4 linked regions of the Arabidopsis thaliana genome follow. The protein of the gene in region 2 interacts with the protein of the main gene of each other region in a pairwise test. Each region holds a gene or a part of one and is shown on either strand. Other genes may lie near its edges. The genes, in order: FYPP1, SAL1, PIN1 and EIR1.

The links.
Region 1: the proteins of SAL1 (region 2) and FYPP1 interact in a two-hybrid assay, tested with the Arabidopsis thaliana proteins (one study listed by BioGRID).
Region 3: the proteins of SAL1 (region 2) and PIN1 interact in a protein complementation assay, tested with the Arabidopsis thaliana proteins (one study listed by BioGRID).
Region 4: the proteins of SAL1 (region 2) and EIR1 interact in a protein complementation assay, tested with the Arabidopsis thaliana proteins (one study listed by BioGRID).

Annotation. Positions count from the first base shown.
Region 1 is NC_003070.9:18,656,663-18,662,758, reverse strand, and holds FYPP1 (Calcineurin-like metallo-phosphoesterase superfamily protein), read right to left. Parts: upstream 4,252-6,096; 5' UTR 3,866-4,251; coding exon 3,785-3,865; intron 3,335-3,784; coding exon 3,188-3,334; intron 3,103-3,187; coding exon 3,035-3,102; intron 2,819-3,034; coding exon 2,761-2,818; intron 2,402-2,760; coding exon 2,291-2,401; intron 2,179-2,290; coding exon 2,128-2,178; intron 2,023-2,127; coding exon 1,879-2,022; intron 1,782-1,878; coding exon 1,686-1,781; intron 1,597-1,685; coding exon 1,525-1,596; intron 1,171-1,524; coding exon 1,087-1,170; 3' UTR 707-1,086; downstream 1-706. Other genes in the region: AT1G50380 (Prolyl oligopeptidase family protein), read right to left, coding at 108-477; VIIIA (P-loop containing nucleoside triphosphate hydrolases superfamily protein), read right to left, coding at 5,653-6,096. UniProt on the Arabidopsis thaliana protein: Catalytic subunit of protein phosphatase 6 (PP6). Dephosphorylates phosphorylated phytochromes, with a preference toward Pfr forms.
Region 2 is NC_003076.8:25,608,330-25,612,529, reverse strand, and holds SAL1 (SAL1 phosphatase-like protein), read right to left. Parts: upstream 2,529-4,200; coding exon 2,463-2,528; intron 2,237-2,462; coding exon 2,161-2,236; intron 2,055-2,160; coding exon 1,981-2,054; intron 1,884-1,980; coding exon 1,678-1,883; intron 1,559-1,677; coding exon 1,243-1,558; intron 1,152-1,242; coding exon 998-1,151; intron 898-997; coding exon 728-897; downstream 1-727. Other genes in the region: RGLG3 (Copine (Calcium-dependent phospholipid-binding protein) family), read left to right, coding at 3,614-3,682, 3,762-3,846, 3,933-4,073, 4,159-4,200. UniProt on the Arabidopsis thaliana protein: Phosphatase that converts adenosine 3'-phosphate 5'-phosphosulfate (PAPS) to adenosine 5'-phosphosulfate (APS) and 3'(2')-phosphoadenosine 5'-phosphate (PAP) to AMP. May regulate the flux of sulfur in the sulfur-activation pathway by converting PAPS to APS.
Region 3 is NC_003070.9:27,658,063-27,664,063, reverse strand, and holds PIN1 (Auxin efflux carrier family protein), read right to left. Parts: upstream 4,392-6,001; 5' UTR 4,293-4,391; coding exon 3,047-4,292; intron 2,895-3,046; coding exon 2,660-2,894; intron 2,472-2,659; coding exon 2,386-2,471; intron 1,736-2,385; coding exon 1,578-1,735; intron 1,482-1,577; coding exon 1,405-1,481; intron 1,255-1,404; coding exon 1,188-1,254; 3' UTR 811-1,187; downstream 1-810. UniProt on the Arabidopsis thaliana protein: Acts as a component of the auxin efflux carrier; this activity is enhanced when activated by D6PK-mediated phosphorylation.
Region 4 is NC_003076.8:23,098,522-23,105,825, reverse strand, and holds EIR1 (Auxin efflux carrier family protein), read right to left. Parts: upstream 5,311-7,304; 5' UTR 5,062-5,310; coding exon 4,792-5,061; exon of another isoform or gene 4,641-4,791; intron 4,544-4,640; coding exon 4,241-4,543; intron 3,861-4,240; coding exon 3,416-3,860; intron 3,019-3,415; coding exon 2,749-3,018; intron 2,451-2,748; coding exon 2,183-2,450; intron 2,096-2,182; coding exon 2,010-2,095; intron 1,935-2,009; coding exon 1,777-1,934; intron 1,654-1,776; coding exon 1,577-1,653; intron 1,437-1,576; coding exon 1,370-1,436; 3' UTR 598-1,369; downstream 1-597. Other genes in the region: AT5G57080 (uncharacterized protein), read right to left, coding at 6,458-6,520, 6,742-6,867. UniProt on the Arabidopsis thaliana protein: Acts as a component of the auxin efflux carrier. Seems to be involved in the root-specific auxin transport, and mediates the root gravitropism. Its particular localization suggests a role in the translocation of auxin towards the elongation zone.

The sequences.
Region 1 (6,096 bases), on a different chromosome or scaffold from region 2:
ATAATCAACAAGTCACTAATACTCCAAATTGAAAACAAGGAAAGCTAAAAACCCTAATCCCCTAAGTATCACAACGTCACTGACAGAGGCAACTTGAAAAGACTCACCAGACATGACGAAATCAGTGTAGTGATTTTCTTCACGAAGATAAGAAAGCATGTCGGGATTGGTGCGAGAATCGTCACGGAGCCAGTAGTAATTGTCAACCCTAACGTCACCGAACATCTCCATCACATGCTCCACCTTCTTCGCTACAGGAGGGGATCTCGATTCCGCCATGTCTCTCGGTGATGTCAACCGCACTGACGCAGCTCCGGTTTCAGAGGAAGAGGAAAAAGAAGAAGACAGCCGTAGAATAGAGCGGCGGCGAGGAACAAGAGGAACGAGGCAAGAGAGAGGAGTATCGAAGTGGAGAAGACGACTACGAGTCGCGAGAAAGTGAGTGCCGAGAGATACGAGTCCACGCCTTATTATCATATTACGTGTCCGTTTTAGTTGCCTAGAGACTCGCGACCAGTTTGTTAATAGAGGACAGGTCATATCCGGTTTGGATAAACCGGCCTATCTATGATTCCGGTTACAAAATTATTAACTCTTTCGTGAATTTTTGCTAGGATTATTGAACAAAACCAAATAATTAGATTAGAAACAAATTACTGTTGAATGTTGATTAATGGTCTTCTATGTTCTTGTAGTGGACTATTTTTGAGCTTGATGAATTTTATAAGCCTGAGATTAACCCAGAACCTAATCAAACCGTGCTAAACTGCAAATAAGCTGAGATGATAAAAATTGGTCTTGCTTACAGAACAAAGATGAAACAAAACAAGAAAGAAAGCACGTATAATAATAACATCCAGAAGAGGTTCAGGTTAAAGTGCATCAAAACCACTAAAATTACCAAAGTGACATTCACTTTCACAAGAAAATGTTTCCAAAATGGAAAAAGGAAAAAAAAAACAATGGAAGTGTAAACAACATCAGAAGATATACCTTGAAAGAACATAAGCCAATGGCAATCATGATAATGGCTAACTTGATAAGAGCAATACGAGACTAATAATGATGTAGGATCATCATCATGAATCACAGGAAATAAGGAACACCTGTCCTTGGCCCTCTCATTTGATTGTTCTCTTCTGTCTCCGTGAAGAACTTCACTTCCCTTTCCTGGTAATTAAGCATATTTTAACAAATCATTACTGTCAGTGAGGACCAGATCCTAAACACTTCCCAGAAACAGGTCTATATATGAAAAGTAACACACAGAGCACAATCAATATGGACAGACTGATTCCACGCGAACTGTGAATTGTTACTAAATAAATGGCTTAAACATCATAACTCTATCTCACAAGAGTCACTCATGTGTATATGTTTGGGTCGAGAGACAAGTATCAAAGGCAGTAACTTATTTAATCAAAAAGGAAAAGTAGAATCCGAAGACGAGTGCATAAAAGTAAGAAGAACATGAAACAAGATATTGTGGCAGATCAGTAACAAAAGAGAAAACAAATGCCTCACCATGTTGTCATTGAAACTCAATATAGAAGCCACATTCCCACAACGGTAGCAGTAATTAGGCGCAGACCACACCTTTACAAAAAAAATAAAGAGAAGAAACATCACCAAGCAGATTATACTTCCAACTATCCAAAATGATCATAAGGAAGCAAGGCACTTACAGTTACAAGACCTTTATCTTGGAACATGTACTTGAGACCTTCTTGTACAAGCTGGTGAGCGCGACATACTAGATCAAGATTGTTAATATGGTTAAACTGCACAAGAAGCAAAACCACAGATCAGGGAACTGAAATACATTTATTTCTTTTCACACCTTATTCAAATTTCAACCCCAGAAAAAAATATAAATACCTCAGTGGTAACCCTGGACCCGAAAAGCCAACCAGCTCCACGTGGACTGACAGCCCATGTTTCAATATCTTCAGGATCACTCCACATAAGATCACAGAAGGGTCCTTCATGCGGTATTTCGCAATTCCGCTCAATCAATCTTATCTAGAGAACAAAATAACATCTAAATGAGTAAATGAGATTTAATCTAATCATAAATAACACTTGCATGGTGAAAACCAAAAGTAATTTAAAATAGCACATTTTAACCTGGTCAATTGTCCGTACATCAGGTGAAAGGCCACCATGAACACATAGAACCTACATTGAGGATGCAATACGTTTTAATATGGTATACAGCTAACTTATGCATTCATAAAATTATACAAGAACACATCATAACACAATGCCAAAGAAGCTGAGAAATACTTACAGTGCCATCTATAATAGCTGAAAGTGTAAGATAGTCAAAAACATCCGTGCAATATCTCCAAGCATTAGCATTACCATACTTCCTTTGGCATTCGTCATAGAAACCATACACCTAGCAAATATAAAATTGGTACGACAATTTAAGAAAACTATAAAAATGAACCTGCAGGGCACAAAATATCACTACAATCTTCGTCCTTGACAGTGGATGTTAAAAGATATAGGATATGGTGTAGGATAGAGATAAATCAAGAGCTTCCGAGAAGAAAACTTATGGTTGCAAAGGGTTCACATAAAATGCATCTTAGTTAACATCTATGCCTATATCTAGCATGGCATTGCCACATGTACAAAATAAACTTTCAAAACTAGTTATAACAATTGAGCGAAAATTACTTCTCAACCAGTAACTGCGTGAAGAGCACAGCAAGTCAGCAACAATAGATATAAATGGATTAGAATAATGCATACCTGAGTTAGCTGTCTACTTTCATGATTTCCACGCAAAAGAGTGATATTGGCTGGATGTCTACATATTGAAATACAAGGAAACGAGTGATTTTAAGCTCACAGCAAAGTAAGTTAGAATATAAATTTCCTGGAATACAAGTTAAATCGATTTTCCAGTAGAGCAATGCGTTTACAGCTTAAAGAGCATTCTCAAGAGAACTATGATATACAGTGTGAAACGGAAGGATGACGATCCATGACATATATAACGCACAATTTCTACGGAAAATCTTACCTTGCTTTAAGAAGCAAAAGAATGGTGAAAACTTCAAGACTGTTGTAACCTCTATCAACGAAATCCCCCTGAGAAAATCCCCCACAGATAATTAAACTATGTGTTACATATTGATATGTCATACGAGCCTACGCCCAAAGTCAGAGTCTATACCATAAATATGTAATTGGTCTCGGGAACATGACCTCCGGTCTGGAAAAGTTTCATAAGATCATGAAACTGGCCATGGATATCACCACAGACGGTGACAGGACTGTTGACAGGTTGTACATTTGATTCCTCAATAAGAATTTCTTTCACCTATATAATAGTCAAAATATCTTGTGAATTACCAGAGTATCTTAGCAAATCATTGTCATGAAAAAAGAAGAAGACGGCTGCTACTACAAGTTTCAACACTAAAATTACTATAATAAATCCTCAAATAACAGTTTGCAAGCGTGGACTTGGTGCATCCATAAATTGGCTAAAGAAGAGCTAAACTTATCCCTAATTCCTTAGAATTTAGAATTGAAATAGCAAAGTCAATAAATCCTCTATTGGAAAAATGAGAGAAAAACCCTAAAATCCGTAGACCAAAATGGCAAAGGAAACAGTAAGGGAGAGAGACCAGATTCAAAGTAAAGTGCCACAAAGCAAGCTCTAAAGTCTCAAAAGAGTAAGCGAAGAATTGGGTTTTTGTAGATGCATGAATATTCGGGGAAGAGAAAGCAAGCAAGAGAAGAAAGAAGAAAGAAGAAGAAGGCGTACGTATTCGCAGAGAAGTTGAAGCTCGTCCTCAGAGAGATGTTGGCCGTCTTTAACCTTGGAAATCCATTGATCTAAATCCATGGCGGCCTTTTATTATCCTCTCTGTCTCTCTCTTTCGGTGGTGAAGTGGAAATTGGTGCTGTTTCTTCGATTTCAATGGTGAGTCTCGACGATCTCTGGTGAAGAATTGAAAGAAAGATAGATCTAGCAGAGCATTGCTCCGTCCGCTTAGGGTTACGTAAGGGGGAAAGAGGGAGAGAGAGAGAAAGGGGAAACACAACGAACCAAACAATCTCGACCCGAACCCGATTTGGTCTTCCTCCATCCCCAAACTCTATTCGTTGGATATTTATTTTTAATCATTTTTTTGGCAACATATTAAACATCAATTTAATTTTTATCTATTACTTCATTACACAAATCTTTAATGGAGTATACTACACATTTTCAATGTTTTTGCAATTCTTTTCTTGGTAATTTTATTTGTCTACTTGAATGTGACAATTGATAACACCTAAATAAAATTCCACAAATACTTAAACCTTCTTTATAGTATTTTTTCTTCTTTTTAATTTTTTTAAAAAAACACATTTCGATATATGTGTTGTTGAATTTGAGTAAGACCTTTTTGATAATTAAAAACTCCTAAAAAAAATTATTTAAAAGTCTTGTTAAACAAATTGTGTCTAAAGACACATTTCGAAATCTATGTGATGTTGAACTTTTGAGGAAGGTTGTTTGTGGGAGACCGTACGGGATATGTTAGAAATGAATCAATGATCTTGGATAGGCATTAGCAATACGATCGTTCAAGAGCGAACCTCACTCGATTCATTTCAATGTTTATGTTTGGGTCTTCCCATTTGGCTTCTGGTTAGGGATAATTTGAGAAGGAAAAGTATTGTTATGATGACCTCTAAAAATGACAAAATGGAATTTGTCTCACCAAAAAATCTCCAATGTTCAAATTACATCCGAAAAAATCACTAGTCGGAGGGCCAAATATTACGGAAAGTATATATTGGTGTTGGTTTGGTTTATACTTGGTCGAGAGGTGATCCGAAACTTAGTTCCACTTAAAAAAGTGATGCATCGCAAAGGTAATTCGAAATTTAAATTGTGAAGAGTTTACTCAGCTGCAAGAATAGAAATGATTTTTCTCAGACATGTTCATTTCGGGTTTGGGCTGGATTGAGTTTTTTTTTAACCCACGACAACATTCCAAGAAAGATCACTTGTTGAAGAGGGATTCCACCAACTGACCATCTGATACAAGTGCATGATTTATCATATGTAATTTTATCCATCAAATTATCTAAATTTTTGTAGAGTCTAAGTCGAGATATCACTGAAATCGGCCAAAAAAACTAGTAGTTAAATAGTTTTTAAAATACACATTGTCCAAACACGATAAAGATTTTTTAAACTCAAAACAATCTTGTATAAAATCTATACAATTTTTTTTTCCCTTTCTAACTCCATATGTTTACAAACAAACAAACTTGTAAGGAAATTTATATTATTATCATAGTTTACCACCTTGTAGTTATTTCTCGCTATGTCCATTTTAATTAGCTTGATAAAAAACTTAACTATTTAAGAAATATAAATATTGATTTGTTTTTGCAACGACTATTTATATTCAAATACAGCAATGGTTCACTGGACTTTGGAATCCTTGACAAATAGATATACTGTATAATATAAAAATTATTTACTGAATTTGCCAATAGATTTGGGTGGCAAATGAAAAACATGACTCTTTCAGTCCCAAGGAGCCTTCTCACTTCTAGCAGCAAAGCCAAAAACCGTAGTTACATCAAACGTGTAGAAAAGGAGACGTGCGTCTCAAGAAAAGGAAGTAACCATTAATACCTAGTACTCCTCAACCTCCCCCACCAATTCATCTTCACCTTCTCCGCTGAACCACCTGTTTCTTCACTCCCAAGTTTGCTAAGTATCAGTTTCGTTTCCCTTAGTCTCCCTCCATAATCTTTCTTCCATGTCTCAAACATCTGTTTCAGCCTTCGTAGCTCCCGGTCCGGATTCAAGTTTGCTTCCACCTGACCAGATTTCACTTCCATCAAGAACTTTCTGTCGTCACCAAATACCTGAGCTCTTTGTCCAAATTCCTCAGCTAACCGGCTTATCACGCTTAAACCCACGCCTACACTTCTTGACCTGCCATGGCCCATTTGGTAATGACTACCTCCTGAATCTAAATCTGTTGCATCGCTTGCATTCACCGATGCATCCGAGTTTCTCGCTGAGTCCTCAACCTCTAGGCTTTTCTTTGCGATGGAAAGACTGGA
Region 2 (4,200 bases):
CTTTTATAGATATTGTAAATGACGTGTGTACCTTTTGTGTGGCCAGGTCTTGTCAAATCTTTCGCTGAAAACAGGTTATTGTGTGTTATATCAACAACTTATCATTATTAACACAAAATATCTTTGTAACATGGATTAAAAACAAAGCAGCTAGTATATATTATTCACATGAAAAGATTAAAAAAAATTGTGCGACTAGTAGATTTGTGATCGCCCCTTTATAAAGTTTGACTAGATCACTAGACTACATTTAATTATTTACAAAGTCTCAACGATTCCTTTCATCGTGAATGGGATATTATTGGGAATAAAATCACGAATTTCTAAAAGTTGCACAATAATATATATTTTTTTGTAAGATGGTACACAATAATATTTTAGTTATACTATAACCAAAGAAAAAAAAAAACTATTTACACCATATTAATTATTTCTATATGAAGAGATTTTCTACTTAACGCGCTTACTTTCGTATTAAGATAAAGTATCTACGCACTGTAGACACGTACGTCGGTGCATCATGCATGTAACCCTTAAAAGGCCTTTTTACGGCCCGTTACTGGTCCATATTAAATTCTCTACATAACCCTTTATACTTAGCCCAAAACAGAATTTCATTTTTATTTCTTTTTCGAAAATGGAAGAAATTCTCACTGGTGAAATTCGGTGAAAGAAAATGAAACAACAGTTACAGAGAAACAAAGAACGTACGAGAGAAAAAAACAAATCAGAGAGCTGAAGCTTTCTCTTGCTCAGCTATGGAGTCACGAACTGCTTTCAAAAGCAGAGGCATTAGCTTCTCGTTAGCAACGATAATGCCTGTGTCCAAATCAAGATACTTCCCTTTCGAGAAATCCAGTGGCTTTCCTGCTGCATCTGTCACTATTCCACCCGCCTCTGCACCAAAAAGAAGAATCAACCTTGCATTCCTTATCTATTTACATCCGCATGTCGACACTATAAAATTAGCTTCATAGAGAGTAAGCTTTAATGTTACCTGTAACAACTATAGCACCAGCGACATGGTCCCAAATCTTTTCGCGGTATCCTTTATGAGGAAACCGTAAGTATATAGCTCCATCTCCTCTTGATAAAGCTCCATACTTTGCTTGGCTATCAATACGGACTGGTGGAGCTTTGACACCGAGTTTCTGTATATTACAACATAGAACATGATCAAATGGATGAGGAAAATTAGTTAGCTATTAGCTGGAATCACATGGAAGGAAAGAAGCAATTTACATTGGCAATGGAGCTGGATAAGTCATGTAGAGAGTGAGCTCCTTCGAATGACTCGAAGAACGATGCCTCTTCAGGATTCTCAACACTAGAGACTTGCACTTTTACAGGAGAAGATTTTGAATCTAGGAGCTGCATATATGTCCCTGAACCAATTGTAGCAAAGAAGAGGCATCCAATTTCGTCTGACGAAGATTTGTTCTTGTTGTTTCCTGCTATGGATGCTAACGGCAAGTTTGGACAAGCAAGCACACCTAAAACTACTTTCCCTTCCTCGAGCAATCCTAGTGCTACTGCGTATTGATCTCCCCTCAGAAATCTAAAATCATGAAAATGCTCAGTGTCAGGAACATAACATCTGACTCAACATTCTATCAAATTTACATTTTCTCTGAAATAAGAAGATTTGACTTTAGGCTAGTTAGTTTTAAAACGTACCCTTTAGTGCCATCAATTGGATCCAAGACCCAGTGTCGACCATTTGGACCACCTTCAGATGTTCCACAGTCAATGGCTCTAAGTAGATCATCAGTAGACAAAGTAGAGCCATTAAACGATTCCTCGGTAGCCAAAGTGTCGTTCACGAGTTTTGTGATGCGCTCCAGAGTATCCTGAGAACCATCCTTGCGTAGATCGCCTGAGTCCTATATAGATCATTTTAGACAATGTGAGTCCATAAACACAAACTCAAAGATAAGTAAAGTGTGAGACATCTAACAAGGATTTATTAAGCAGTTTCACCTCTTCAGCCACCAATGAAAAGGGTTCAGAACTGAGCTCTTTTTCTAAGACTAAACTAACAACTGCTTGTGAACCTGAAATTCAACACAAGACAGATCAAATTAAGTGATTTCCTAACAATCTCAGTAACATTCAAAGAGAAGAGCTTTTTCTAATCAGGGACAGGTATAACAAACTAACCATAATCAGCAACGGTCACTGGACTTTTATCAGATTTTGATTGCACATCTGATTGCAACAAAGCCTTTTGAACTTTCTGAAACAAACCCAAAACACAAAGATAAGATTTTGATCAAAGATTTACACGAGCTTCGTATGTAGAGGACCATTACACTATATCACTAGAATCTATTCCCAATTACAGATGCAATGCACAATAAACACAAAATGTTAAACGAAATTTGGAAGATTTACAAAATGGGTTTCTTAAAGAATCAAACTTTAGAATCTATGGGTCATGATTGAATCGAAAAAACCCTAACCTGACAGAGACGAGCAGCGAGTGAAGCAGCTTTCTTAGCAGCATCAAGCTCTTTCTCGTAAGCCATCGATGAAACAACTCTGAGAGTAACAAATGAAGGAGAAGAAGACTTGCGTCCGAATACAGAAACGAGACGGTTCGATGAATTTCTAGGTCTCGAATTCGTTCTTACTGCTACAAATGATTGAAGCGGAGCCTTCGCTGTTCGAAAACAATTTATAGACATCATTCGCTTTTCAAGAAGATAAATATATGTCTTCACATTTTCTGATTGCAGAGACAATTATTATTACTTTTTTGAATTTCCCATTTACACCAGTGTACTTATTTATTCTCTGAACTTAAACCCTAAACTTTATTTTAGATCAAGAAAGGCCATATTTGCTCTGTTGGTTTAGGGGTCCATGTGGCACCAATTGAAAGAACAAGTACAAACGGTGAAAATCATAAAAATAAAAAACTTTAGTGATCTTCGTAGATTGGTTGTTGAGTTTTGGGCTAATCGCACGTGGATGTTGTGGTTGAAACATAAGTGAATTTATAGGTGGTGAAGATACAAAAAGGCTTCTTGATGAATGAAGAAGCCCAATAAAAACGGTTCTGGGTTAATATATTTTGAGGGAATCAAAAGCCCAAATAATTTTCTTCAGACAAGAGCTACAGCTTTGCCACGTTGTCCACATGAATCATGTTGAAATTTGGTCTATGATTTTGGGTTATGGATAAATCATTAATGACGCAGAGACAAGACTAAAAAAGATTTCTAGATTGATGATGGCGTGTGAGAGAGCAAAATACGTTTTGATTATTTGCCGGCGCAAGCAAAGGGTCACGTTCCACTAACTTTCAAGATTCAACAAAACCCACTTTCTATAGTTTTATATGTTCATTTTTTTCTGCTAAAGTATTTTTATATGTTCATATTTCTCTTTTGTGCCATCTTTTTAATAATTTAATCTTCCTACAGAAGATAATCTCCAACAAAAGTTTTTTCTTACAAGAAAGATTCCGAGAAGTCTTTTGTGTTTTCAACAAACTCCAGGTTGATATATACTTGCCACTTGTGTAACTGTATCTTTTATTCTTGATTTTGATTGGTTTCTTCTCCAAAGATTGGATTTCTGAAGGTTCTTGTGCTGCAGGGTTTTTTCAATGAACATGAGCAATAAACGTAATCAGCAACCTTCGTATATTGCTGATCATTTCAGCAGTTTGGATCAGGTCTCATAAACTTACTTAGTTATTTCTTGATTTTAGTCTCTTTCATAGTGATGAATTTCTTGTGAACTTTGCTTTTTAGGTGATAACTTCTCTGAGAGAAGCTGGACTTGAATCTTCAAATCTGATTCTAGGAATTGACTTTACCAAGAGCAATGAGTGGACAGGTAATTATTTGATTTGATAAAAAATGCTACACATGTTTACGAAAAGATTCAATGGTTTTGGTTAATGTTCTGAATTTTCATTGCAGGGAGATATTCATTCAATAGAAAAAGCCTTCATGCCATTGGTAAAAGACAGAATCCATATGAGAAAGCAATATCGATTATTGGTCGTACTTTGTCTCCCTTTGATGAAGATGATCTTATACCTTGTTTCGGTTTTGGCGATGGTTAGTTTCTTATTTCTTGCTTTCAAGATGAATGAATAAGATAAACCAAAGTTCTTAATGGTTTTATGTTTTCTTCTTCCTGCAGTAACAACGCGAGATCAATATGTATTCAGCTTTTATCCCGAGA
Region 3 (6,001 bases), on a different chromosome or scaffold from region 2:
TGAAGAATGCAACGGCGGCTACAGCCGTCTCATGCAGAATAAAATGATGGTTTTTTTTTACGTGAGGGTGAGGCGTGCCATAAATTTAGGGTCGCTTTCTTTAACTATTTTCCTCATTCTAATTATTACGCCTTCATATATTTATTACTATCAATTTTATTTTTATTTTTGTTTTGTATACAGTCATTTCACTTTCTAATAAATTCATTTGGTAACTAAAATAAATAAAAATTCATCATTCCACATATTTAAATCAAGCCAATATTTTTAGCAATTAAATGATTTTCATGTCGAGAGTACAATTCAAACCAAGTTAAGTATTATACATTTGATTTATCATTATATAAGATCGTCGTATAAATATGAAGGTTTGTTTTTATTCATAAAAAGCATCAGCATCTAAGTGGTATGTAATGATTCTGAGAAGAATCGGTAAAAGGATACACAATTGACAACACTAAACGAATCTTTCAAGATTCCACAAACGCAGTGAAGAGGAATCTTGACCAAGTCGAATAACGTAACGCATGCACCAAGTCCCCTATCTTCTACATATTTAATCGAGTGTTCTGTTGAATCCAATACTCGTGTCGTCTGTGTTGTTATAGTCACATGCTATTTCATACCTTCCCACCTAAGCTATTGTAAAGTTTCTAATATTCATGACTACGTTTTAAATTTTCCCAAATCCCCCGTAGAAATCCCTTTCTCAAACATTTTGTGGAAGATGTACTTTACTGTTTTAGTTTCTGATTTTTCACATTTAGGCAAACGAAACATAGAAATGTTAAGTGAACTTAACTTTTGAAATGGCTAAAACACTTCTTATTTTGGTGAGATTTAGACCTATACACACCAATTCACTTTTAGCATGCACACAAAATTTGATATTTTCCTTAACGTTTTTAATTCACTAAAAGTAGCCAAAGCTTTTACAAATTCCTAAAACCTACCAAAAGAGGAAACACGAATGTTCATTAAAATTAAGAAAAAGGTAAAACTTGCTGAGCTCCTACTTAAGTCTCCTTCTTCTTCTCTTCTTCAAGAGCTTCAATTATCCTCAAAGATTCTCTAAAGCTGCTTCTGATTTAATTTGTGGGTTTTCAACAAAAAGGGCATTGTTCTTTTCACAATTCATCATCCCACAAAAGAATAAAACAAAGTCCCTGTGTTTTGGTAATATCTCTTCATAGACCCAAGAGAATGTAGTAGAGAAGAGTTATGGGCAACGCGATCAACATCCCAAATATCACCCTGCAACAAAAATCAGAACTCACGTTAACAAAAATATATTTATATATACACCTAATCATAATTAATGTAGGCAAAACCAACCTAACTTTTTTTCTACAACAAAATTTATTGTTATAACAACAAAACTATTTAATAGATTAATAAACTTACGCAGTGCTAAGAATGTCAGGATGCACATTATACTCTTTGGCAAACACAAACGGTACTATTCCTTGCGGCAAAGCTGCCTGTTTGTTGTCAATAAAAATAATGGTTAGAAATCGTATAAACGACAGTAGACACAACAGAAGTGTTTCATATTTGATCATGCAAATAAAAACTACCTGGATAATGGCAACATGGAGGAGGACGCCACGGAGGCCAACGGCATAAGAAGCAACGAGCATGACGGCAGGTCCAACGACAAATCTCATAGCCGCCGCAAAAGCTGCTCTTCTGTTTCCACAAGCTATTATTCTTGGGTTTAACGCCATGAACAACCCTTTAACACATCCAAAAAAAGCCACAAATTTAAACAAATAATTTATTATTGTTTTGCTTTTTGGTTAATTTAAGTTTATACACTGTTTTTAGCTGCAAAAGAGTGACATAAAAATAATCATCACAGCCACTGATCCACCACCACAACATTAACATCATCATTATCGTTATCCTAAACTATTCATTCCATAAAGTCATGATTAAGCACAAATTTTATAATCAGTTGATGGAAGTCTACTGAAACATAAACAAGGTAAAAAAGAAAGTTTTTTCATCGATAAGGGGGTCAATATTAGGTATAAAAAAATTGTTTGTTGCTTTAAGAGAAAATAAAAAATGGTTCCTCCTATTCAAGGGAGAGACATGTTATGATGATAAGCAGAGAACTGTGGAGCATGCTTTCTGCTGTGAAGCCAGTTTTGTTTGCTTTTTTGATACAAACATGTTTCAAAAAAACTTCAAAGAAAAAGAAAACAGAGAGAATCATGCTTCCACATGATTTGTTTTTTTTCTTAAAATCATTTAAAATTTAAAAAACACCATAAAGAATGAAGGTCAGAAATAAAGAGAACAATTGACTGTTTTATGGTATTTAATTATGTAATAAATGAAAAGAGGTAAAAATAAAAGAAAAGAGAAAAAGGAACTGACCAAGACTGAACATAGCCATGCCTAGACCTGCATCTGAGAGTATGGAGATAGACTTTGCTATAAGAGCTGGCATTTCAATGTTCCACCTGCACAGACCACATCAATTTAATTCCAATAAAGAGATCTTTCTCAAATCTTTTGTTACTTCAATCTATCAGAAAAAACTTTCAAACATATACGCATTCAAGGCTGACCCTTTATGCATCAAGAAAGTGGTTAAAATAGTAGACCAAAACCAAAGTAAAGTGAAAATAAGACAAGTTTGAAACAGTACTTGAAGGAAATGAGGGACCAGGTGATGCCGAATAAACTGGAGTAAGAGTTGGGATTACGAATAAGTTTCCTCCAAACCATAATGAGAATGAGTCTTGTCATCACACTTGTTGGTGGCATCACCTTAGCCTGCGTCGTTTTGTTGCTTATGTTGTTCCCACCGTCCGTTGCCAATACTTTGCTATCATCGTCTTTGTTACCGAAACTAAACTCTTCCCTCTCCACGTACTGGTTGTCTAAAGTAAGGCAACAACACATGTAAACAATTAAAGAACCCCTTAACCAAATCATAAATATCGAAGGACATAGAGAAATTTTGGGGGTGTTTTTGTAAAGAAAATAAATTAGGGTGCGAAAACAAAACAACAAAGTTATAGAGGGACTATACCGTTACTATTCCCCTGAGGTACAGAGATCTTAACGTCCTTTTGATGATCGTTCGTAGCGGTGGAGTAATCGGCGTGGTGGTTTCCTCCTCCACCGCCGAACACATCTGAGACCGGCGAAGCACTTGAGCTCCACACAAACATGTGAAGATCTCTTCCGTTTCCGTCTTGTCTTTTCCCACCAACCACCGGAGCGTTTCCTTTCGCCGCCGTGCCTCCACCACCGCCAGTGTTGGGCGAAAACATCCCTGGGTTCGGCGCCGGATAATGCGCTCCTCCACCGCCACCACTTCCTCCAGATTGATAATGAAACCTCCCAGCTCCAGCAGCAGTTCCAGCAGCCGTCGGTTTAGCAGGACCACCGTCTTCTTCGTAGTTGGAAGGTCTCGGAGTAGGACCTTTAGAACCAAACACAGCTTCTCCAGGACCAAAGTTAGAGTTCCGACCACCACCAGAAGCCATCATCGAGTAAAAATCAGTATGATTAAAACTAGAGCCACGTGGCGTTGGGTTTCTTGAACTCTGAAGCGAATATATCTCAGCGTTGGTTAGATTCGAAGGTCTAGGTGTCGCAGATAAGCCTTGAGACCTTCTCGAGTAAATATCAGACCTTGAAGCATTAGAACGACGAACAGTAACATGAAGCTTCCCATCTTCTTTAATCTCAGCTTCAGTTTCCAAAGGTTGTCTTCCATCTAAAGACATAATGTCGGAATCAACATGAATCGAAACAATAGATCCTGCTGTGTCTGGAAACTGCTCGGAGATCAAAAGCTTAGCTCCACGGTACTCAAAGAGAAAGAGCATGAGTGTGTACCAAATGATACACTGAAGAACAACGATTTGAACCATGAGGTCGCCGGAGAAATTACCATACATGCCTTTGAGAAGAGGTATCCCCATGACTAGAGTGTTGGGGAGTGTCGAGAGAGAGAAGAGAGTTATGGTCCAATCTAAAGAACCGTTGCGGCTGAGTTTGCACCAGAGGAAGAGGAGAGAGAGGACAATGACTTTCTGGAGAGAATCTGCGGCGAGGAAACGGAGGTTCATGGCGTAAGGGTTGTTAGCGGCGATGAAGTGGAAAGAGAGGAGAGGAACGGCGAAGAGAGCGACGAAACGGTTTATGCCGGAGCATTGGTCTGGTGTGAAGATTTTCCACCATTTGACAGAGCCGTAAGCGAGGATCATAGCTACGTATAACGGAACCATAGCCGTCATAACGTGGTAGAAGTCCGCCGCCGTAATCATCTTTTGTTCGCCGGAGAAGAGAGAGGGAAGAGAGAAGAGCTTTTGTCTTTAGTTTGAGAGAGAAGTGGTGAAGAGGGAAAAAAGAGTAAAGTGAGTGTTGAGAAGAGACCACATTTTTATATTCTTTTTATTTTATTTTTTTGTCCGTTGAGAAAATACCATATTTTTTAATTAAACATATATATATTTTGTTAATGAAGCTAAAACTGTTTGCTGATTTTATTATTTTCGTTTTCGATTATTTGGTTAGTTTCTAGATATTATATTCAAAAGTAGTTTACGTGTAGGAGTAAAAAAACATTAAATGTAAAATTGGAATAGCTCAACATATTTATTTGTTTTGTTAAACATTCCAACATAATAGTGTGTGTGATGTAATTTTGATTGAAATACGACAAAAAGAAGTTTTTTTGAATGTAATAAAAACGAAATAAAAATGGTGGTTGATGGGTGCGTGGTGGAGCTTTGGGGATAGTGAAAGAGGCGGCCTTGTGCGCTTTGCGGAGTCCAAAGCAGAGCCTCTGTTTTTGCCTCTCTCTTTTTTTTTTGGCCTTTTCAAATTATGAATTAATCTATTCGGTTGATCAATTTATCCCCTATACTAATTATTAAATTTATATTTTTACCATGTTTAAAAATTGTTAAATTTATTTTTGCTATAAATTATTGTGATTAGTATGATGGGATTTTTGGTATTGACTTTCAATTGATAAATCACAACAGAAGATAAATACACATTGAAGTGATGATATAAGGCTCGATTTGATGTTTATATGAACTTAGAAAATTTTGGTTTTAAAGATAGAAGTCTTCTCCGAAGAGAGGTTGAAAGTCTTTGGAAAAATGGTTGCAATTGAACAAACTAGTTCCTAACCAAAGACTTTGTGGGTGGAGATAAAAGAAAAGATGTGATATCACTAACATAAGGTCGAAATCACTTTTTCATGTGAGATGGGTGTGTGTGAGTTATCATTGCATAGGTTATCATTTACAGTTGTAGTTGCGCATACGAATTATTTATGAACTATTCAATCCTTTGATCGCTCATCTTGGAACTTATTTTCTTTTACTGTTTACTGTATAACATTACTAACAAAGTTTTATAAAATATATTTCGTTGAGAAAATTAGTAACAAAGTTTTATTGAACATAAATACGTAGAAGTTTTTTGAAAGAAAAATGTTGAAAAGAGGGTGGTTCTGGTTTGCTTACACAAATCAGTCTGATGTGTTCTTTAATACTACTAATAAAGTCCGTACAAAAAGCAATGGGTTGATGATATAATGAGGAGTGTTGATATTTGAGGAAACACAATATTCCATCAACAGTCTGCTCTTCATTTTTCTCATCATCCCATACAAACACAGTTCTTCTTTTTTTTTTCTTTCCAGCTTTTTATTTTTCCAATGTTTTCAACTTTTTTTTAAGCATAATAATAATATATAGTACTAATATAATTCGACTTTCCTTGCCATTTCTTGCGCTTAAAGAGACTATACACACAAAAAAAGTAGGTTATGCAATCCGAATAAAGTAAATATGTTGAGAAGTTACGAAAAAATAAAAGAGTTGATGACTTAACATCATTTTTCTATTAAAAATTATAAATCAAGTAGTTTCTATTTTTTTTTACTGACAAATAATTTTAAAATTGGTTCTTTGAAAGAATTGAATTTTTAACACGGCAAAAAAAAAAAAAAAATTGCAGG
Region 4 (7,304 bases), 2.5 Mb from region 2:
GCCTAGAGAGACAAGAGCTGTCACTGAGCAAATGTTGTCTCCTACTCAATGCACAAAACCTTCTGAAAACATCAAAACGTATAAATACTTTTACCCTTAGTATACATATGCTATTTCTCTTACGCACTTCATTGAATAATAAATATTTTTACGTGTAAACTATTAAAAGATCTATTGTCAGATAAGTCAGAGGTCAGGACAACTATATAGAGAAGAATTGTTATTGAATTTCTCATGTGTTGTTGTTCGTTCAATTACGTTCCGACCAAAGAGCGAGTTCCAACGTATATCTCATCGTTTTGATACCCCACGTGATCGTTTTCACGTTACACAGTCAACGCCTCCAGAGCCAAGCCATCTTTTCTAGTACATTACATTTACATACTTAAATTCAAGCGCCGATCACCGATACGTTTTGAGGAGCTCATAATTAATCAAACGCAAGGAAAAAGAAGAAAAATAATTTCTATTTCATAAAAACTTTGGACAGTTTGGTTGAAAAGTTTGATCACTCGTTAAGATATTCACACATGTTAGATATGCACAATTTGTCTATAACGCAAAACTTATCATCAGCAACTATCTTACTACACAATCAATTGTCTAGACTAGTGCTTTCATTTGAAATGTTTCTTTCTCCACGCAAATTCTTTGTATCACTCCAAAAATAGTCCGAGTGATATCTTATTGGTGACAGATAAGTATATACTAAAATAAAGGAAAATTAAATTCTATTATAAGTTTGATTGTTCTTTACTCATCGAATTAAAATGCGACTACCTTCAAGCTTCAACCGAATATTACGTTCATAATTTTTTAACAAAAAAAATAACGTTCATAATTAACTTTACATACAAACAAAAACATAAATATATAAGACAAAAGAAATGAAATAAAAAGGTTATATGTGGAAGTATTAGTGCATTTGATCCAAAACAAAATAAAGAATTGTATGGAGATTTAGAAAAGCACAAGATCTAATCTAAACAGACTGCGCGATCTAGTAATACTTGACTAGTATATGATGAAATATTAGTGTAATTTAATAACATGCTTCACGACCATCGATAAATAGAAAAAACTAATCAATAGTAAATAATTGTACTTGCACATCCCAAAAATTTAATAAATGTAACAAAAACTACAAAGTCACGTACATGCATGTGCATATAATTAATTATACAAAGTTATCTAAATTTTCGACTATCATATGCTATAATTTAATTAATGCGACATTGCATGGTCCCATACACCTAAGCCTGACCTGGAATTAGTCTTTTTTCGTTCTTGTAATTATTCTTTTTCGTTTGAAAAAAAATCACCTTTGGGTCGTATCGCCTTTTATTTGCAAATACGTTTTGATAATAACTTAAAGCCCCAAAAGAACGTAGTAGAGTACTGTTACAGGCAAAGCAACCAGCATTCCGAATATAACCCTGAAAAATAATATCAAGTTTTTAGCTTAGGAGATCTCTGTAACTTTGTATAGTTTGAATACCAAATTAATATCTTATATATAGTATTAAAATGAAGTTTAAGAATGAAAATTAAATATTTTATAACTTAAATAACTTACGCAGTGCTGAGAATATCAGGATGGACGTTATATTCTTTGGCGAAAACAAAAGGAACGATTCCTTGAGGAAGAGCAGCCTTCAAAACATACAATTATATATATTCTTATCAATTATATTTTTCAAAGAAACCCAACATCACTAGCTAAAACATCAAACTGTAAGTTAGATTGAAATATATATAAGACTAAAGAGTAATCACCTGAACGATGGCGATATGGAGGAGATCACCTCGAATACCAATTGCTATTGAGGTGGCTGCGATCACGGCTGGTCCAGTCAAGAACCTTACGGCCATCGCAAACCCTGCTACTGATTTTCCGCACGCAATAATCTTTGGTTGCAATGCCATAAATAGACCTATATGTATCAATAATTAGCAAAAAAAAAAGCACCAAAGACTATAACTAAATATATATATGAAGGGAACTATACCAAGACTAAACATAGCCATTCCAAGACCAGCATCAGATAATATCGAAATCGATCCACTCATTATCGTTGGCATCTTTATATTCCACCTGTCCCATAAAATGATCAACAACATCAAGCAATTGCCCAAATATATTGTTATGTTATATGATTGTGACATTATTATTAGTACTTACTTGAAAGAGACAAGGGACCAAGCAAGGCCAAAGAGACTAGAGTAAGTGTTAGGGTTTCGAATGAGTTTTCTCCAAACCATTATCAGAATTAGTCTCGTCATCACACTCGCCGGCGGCATCTGCTGTTTCCTAGGACCGGGACCGCCGTCTTCCACGTCGCTACCTTTTTTGCCCATGTAAGGTGACTTTCCCCCGTTATTACCGTCTTGGTCCATTTCCACATGCCCTTTTCTTCCCGGTGACATGTTCTCTATCAGATTCTGCATCGCTGTCATCACCAAGTATGAATATAATTATAATTAAATATCACAGAAAATACTAAACTAAATTTATTATGACCTTTCTTCGACCAAAAAACTAACTTATAGAAAGCCGTACGGAACCAAATAAAAATCTACTTTAATTAGTTTAAAAGTTTTCATAAGTTTTGAAACTTTGAAAAAACTATAAAAAAAACTTAGAACCGATATTGAGCTTTATACATTTTTCCTAAAAGTTAAAAAAAAAATAGAAGCGTGGCAAGTAATGATAAAAAAAAATATGAAATAAGTTGGAGATTAATAAACCTTTAGTAGCGAGGTTGTCGTGAGGAGGAATAGAAACTTTAGGGTCGGTGGATACATCGGTGGAAGAACCTCTGGTCATAGCATTCTTCGCGTTGGCTTCCGACACCGGAGAAGCACTCGAACTCCACACGAACATGTTCATCTCCTTGTTTTGTCCTCCTACTCCTACTCCGCCACCGCTTCCTCCGCCACCACTTTCCTTTTTCTTGACTCCACTTGCTCCACTCGTTGACCCCGTGAACATTGGGTTCGGCGGTGGGTACGACGGAACTGACCATAAATTATAGAAAATTTTATTTTAAAACATTACATTATAATGAAAAAATCACATTTAAATTTCAAAATACAAAATTAATATTTTGTTTTCCAAAACTATAATCAGTTTAAAAACCTAAGAGTTTTGGAAGTGATATACTAAATTATTATTATTTTGTTAAAAGAAAAAAATAATTACGCAAAATTATTTGATGAACTCTTTACTTAACTTTTAAACCTTTTTAAACCTAATAATATCCCACTTATAATCACCGGTGACTGATGGAAAATAATAATAATATCTGAATCGATTCTTATATCTATTTAAATTTATAAAGAAGCAAAATATATTTTTTTAAAAAAATAAATAAAAAATAAATATATATATATATATATATTAAAAAATTCATACCACTATTATTGTTGTATAATTCCCCACTCATACTTCTGCCTCCTCTTCCTGCTTTCTTCGCCGTCTTCATAACTTCCTCATCAAAATTTGACGTTCTCGGCGTCACGCCTTTAGAAGACTGAAGTGAGTAAACATCTCCACCTGGACCAGCTCCAGCGCCGCCGTAGCTATTAGTGTAACCGTGACGAGGGCTTGGAGCTTTGCTTGCGTTAAACATTGCGTAGAAATCTGTCTGATTAAAGCTAGAAGCTCTCGGCGTCGGCTCTCGTGACGATTGAACGGAGTAAATCTCTACGCCGGTGAGATTTGAAGCTCGCGGCGTTATCATGGAGGAGTTAAGTCCTCCGCCGTGAGATTTGTTGAATGAAGAGATCATTGATGAGGCGGCACTTGATCTTCGAACCACCACGTGTAGCTTTCCGTCGTCTCCTATCTCCGCATCGGTCTAATGAAAGATAAATCCATATTTTTAGGTGATGAATTTCGAGTCGATGTGATTTAAACCGGATATAACCGAATCGGTACAAAAAGAATGAAAATTCAACTAGACTATAGTTAATAACTTGATATTTCTTATATTGTACTAATTATTAAATTCTGCGTGAATAATGTAACACGTCACTTTGAAGATTATTTTTGACTTCTGAAAAAGGAACTCAGACAAAACTCAAAATTTGTTATAGATTTACATAGGCAAAAAGGAATCCCAAAATGACATGTAGTCATGTCGTAACTAGTAACTACCCATTTTCTAGTTTACTTGAGTTAACCGGTCCGTTAATTTGAACAAACATATGAAAAAGGTCATCAGTGAAAAATTCATACCTGGAGGGGTTCACGGCCATTAAGAGAGATAACATCAGAGTCAACTCTGAAGGAAGTAATTGAACCAGCCGTCTCCGGGAACTGCTCGGAGATGAGAAGCTTAGCCCCACGGAACTCAAACAAGAAGAGCATTAATGTATACCATATGATGCTCTGAAGCACCACGATCTGCACCATTAGGTTACCGGAGAAGTCTCCGTACATCGCCCTAAGCAATGGGATTCCCATTACCAACGTGTTAGGCAGTGTTGATAGTGAAAAGAGCGTTATCATCCATTCTAGGCTTCCTCTGCGGCTAAACGCCTAAAAAATAATATCACAATATATACACAAACATGAGAATGTGTGTGTTTAGAGACACATATTACAAAAGAGCTAAAATGTTAACTAAAATATTTACCCGTGTTAAATGACATAGTTACTATACTATAAGCTTTCGATAACCAATATGTTTTCGAGTAAAAATTGACCATCATAGCAATTACTAGTAGACTACCATCACTTAATGAAGATAGATTATGTGCATAGAGAGATTATTGAAAGAGACGGGCCTGCCAAAGAAAGAGTGCGGCGAGGATAACGACTTTCTGAAGAGAATCAGCAGCGAGGAAGTGGTAATTCATTGCATAAGGATCATTGGAGGAGATGAAATGGAAAGAGAGAAGAGGAACCGCGAAAACCGCAACGAACCGGTTTATACCGGAACATTGGTCCGGTGTGAATATCCCCCACCACCGTACCGAACCATAGGCTAATATCATAGCAACGTATAGCGGCACCATAGCCGCTAAAACATCGTACATGTCTTTGCCGGTGATCATTTTGATTTACTTTTTCCGGCGAGAGAGAGAAGAAGAAGAAAAATAGAGATATAGATGAGTATATGTGGTGTGAAATAACGTATTTATGGACAAGGAAGTGAAGTTCCTTGAGACGATATTTAATTAATGTTGTTTGTGTTAAAATAATGGGATTCGTGTTCAAACATTGAATTATAGCTAAGCTTAGCTAGAGAGGATCGTTGGACATTTGAATATCAAATAAACAAAATATAAACCAAAATGCCTTTTTTCTTCCTCGGCATTTTGTGAATGGACAAATACTAATACAGTAATAATTTCAGTCTGAATCTTCTTTGGTCCATAATTTTTCGAAGTGCTCTAGATTTTTTCTTTTTTTCCGTTGATACTAGATATTCCTTCTATCTTTATTACTTCTGCAAAAAGCCGTTATATTTAATTTGAAGAATCTTATCTTGGGATAAGGAAGATTGGTTTACCTTCTGTCTCGTGGTCTAACATTATTTGTAAGTAAAATTAAATGCTTCAGAGATTATAAATTATAATTACACAAATGTTAGATTCAAAATATCTGTAGAGTCAGATACTTGGATCCACTTGTACGTGTAATACAAATTTGTAAATTTAGATTAGATTTTATATTAATAAGAAAACAAATTTGTAAATTTAGATTAGGTTTTATATTAATAAGAAAACAAAAACGATTTTTGTGTAAGCTATTGAGACGGCGAAGGTTGATGGACATGCACATGGTTTTTGCGAGCATCTTACTACACTTTCTGAGCGATCTGCGGTTCCCTGTAAACATCTGATTTTTAATCAGGAAAAATACAATTGTAATTAACTTATCTTTTAATCTTGAAACGGTGTATTTTTGTTTTTAAACGAAAATCTCTTAATGATTTATTATTAACTACAGTCAAAGACATTGGCAATTGGACCGATGAATAATTAGCCTCTCTTCCATATTTAATTGTCGTGTTTTCTTCATATTGCAATTGTTAACGTATTTATCACGCCACGTGATTGGGCGTTTGGGCCTAATGGACCTATGGATCTAACGATGGAGATACTAACTAGATTATCACTAAAATCTCTTTTGAAGTTCCAATATGTATCGAAGACATGGTTTTCCACAATCCGTAGCAAAGACTCCATCAATTCGTTGGTCTCTATGTCATCTACACGATCATCGCGATTTCTTATATCTCTTTAAAAAAAACGGTGAATTGACCAACAAGAAACCTAAAAAGAGTTTGTTCTTCTTTACATCTTCACAAGAGGAAGAAGAATAAAAGCCTTTAATAAGTGATCTCAGTTTTAAACTTTATCCATGTTTTTTTGTTAACTCATGAATTGAAAGAGAACAACCAAAGTGAATGTAGCCTGATAAAACAGGATGAAACTATTGAAAGATTCAAACTTTGTTTACAGAATCATCCTTCTTGGCCACTTCACTACTTTCCAACGGTGGTAAACTCTGCACAAAAGTAAAAAGCAATCAGATTACAAATCTCTCATGGGCAATTCATCGAACACCTTATGTGCATTACAATAAAAGAGAGATCACAGAGCCAGAGAACGAAATGAATGGTTTTAAACCGATCACGCTTATGGGCATTATCAAGAACGAAGAAAGTGAGCAAACCTAATACATTTGAGAACCCTAACATATGTACAGAAAGAGAAGGTGAAGCTTACGAGATCTGGTTTGTAGATGTTGTGGACAACGGAGGCTCCGGCGAGAAGGGAAGCAACGACGACGAGTGTTGACATTGCCAGAGACGGAGTTCCCGTCGGCAACTTTCCTTTATACGGTTTCTTCATCTTTGGCTCTGCTTTTTGACTGAGCGCGCGATATGAAGAGAAATTTGAAAAGCTTTTCGAAATTTTGAACCATCATCAACAAGTTTGCTTTTATAGCAAGTCGGCTTTTTATGATTTGAACGCGCAGCTCTCGCGCGTGAGTAACACGTCACCTCCCTGCCTGAATCTCATTATCTAAGGCCAAAGTTTTGAATTATATAATAAGGTCAAGCTACTCTAAAGAATTATGGAAATATCAAAACACTTTTTTGAGGATCGTTTATAAGCTTCAAGACCATCACTTGACAATCATGAGAGTTCAATACCTCAAACCTCATCAGATATGTCACATCATTCGGTACTGGTAATGATATCCTTGCAAAACATGAATTCAGTTGACATATCATATACATATTACTAGTAAGCTATAAGAATCTCACTCAACACACAAATGAATT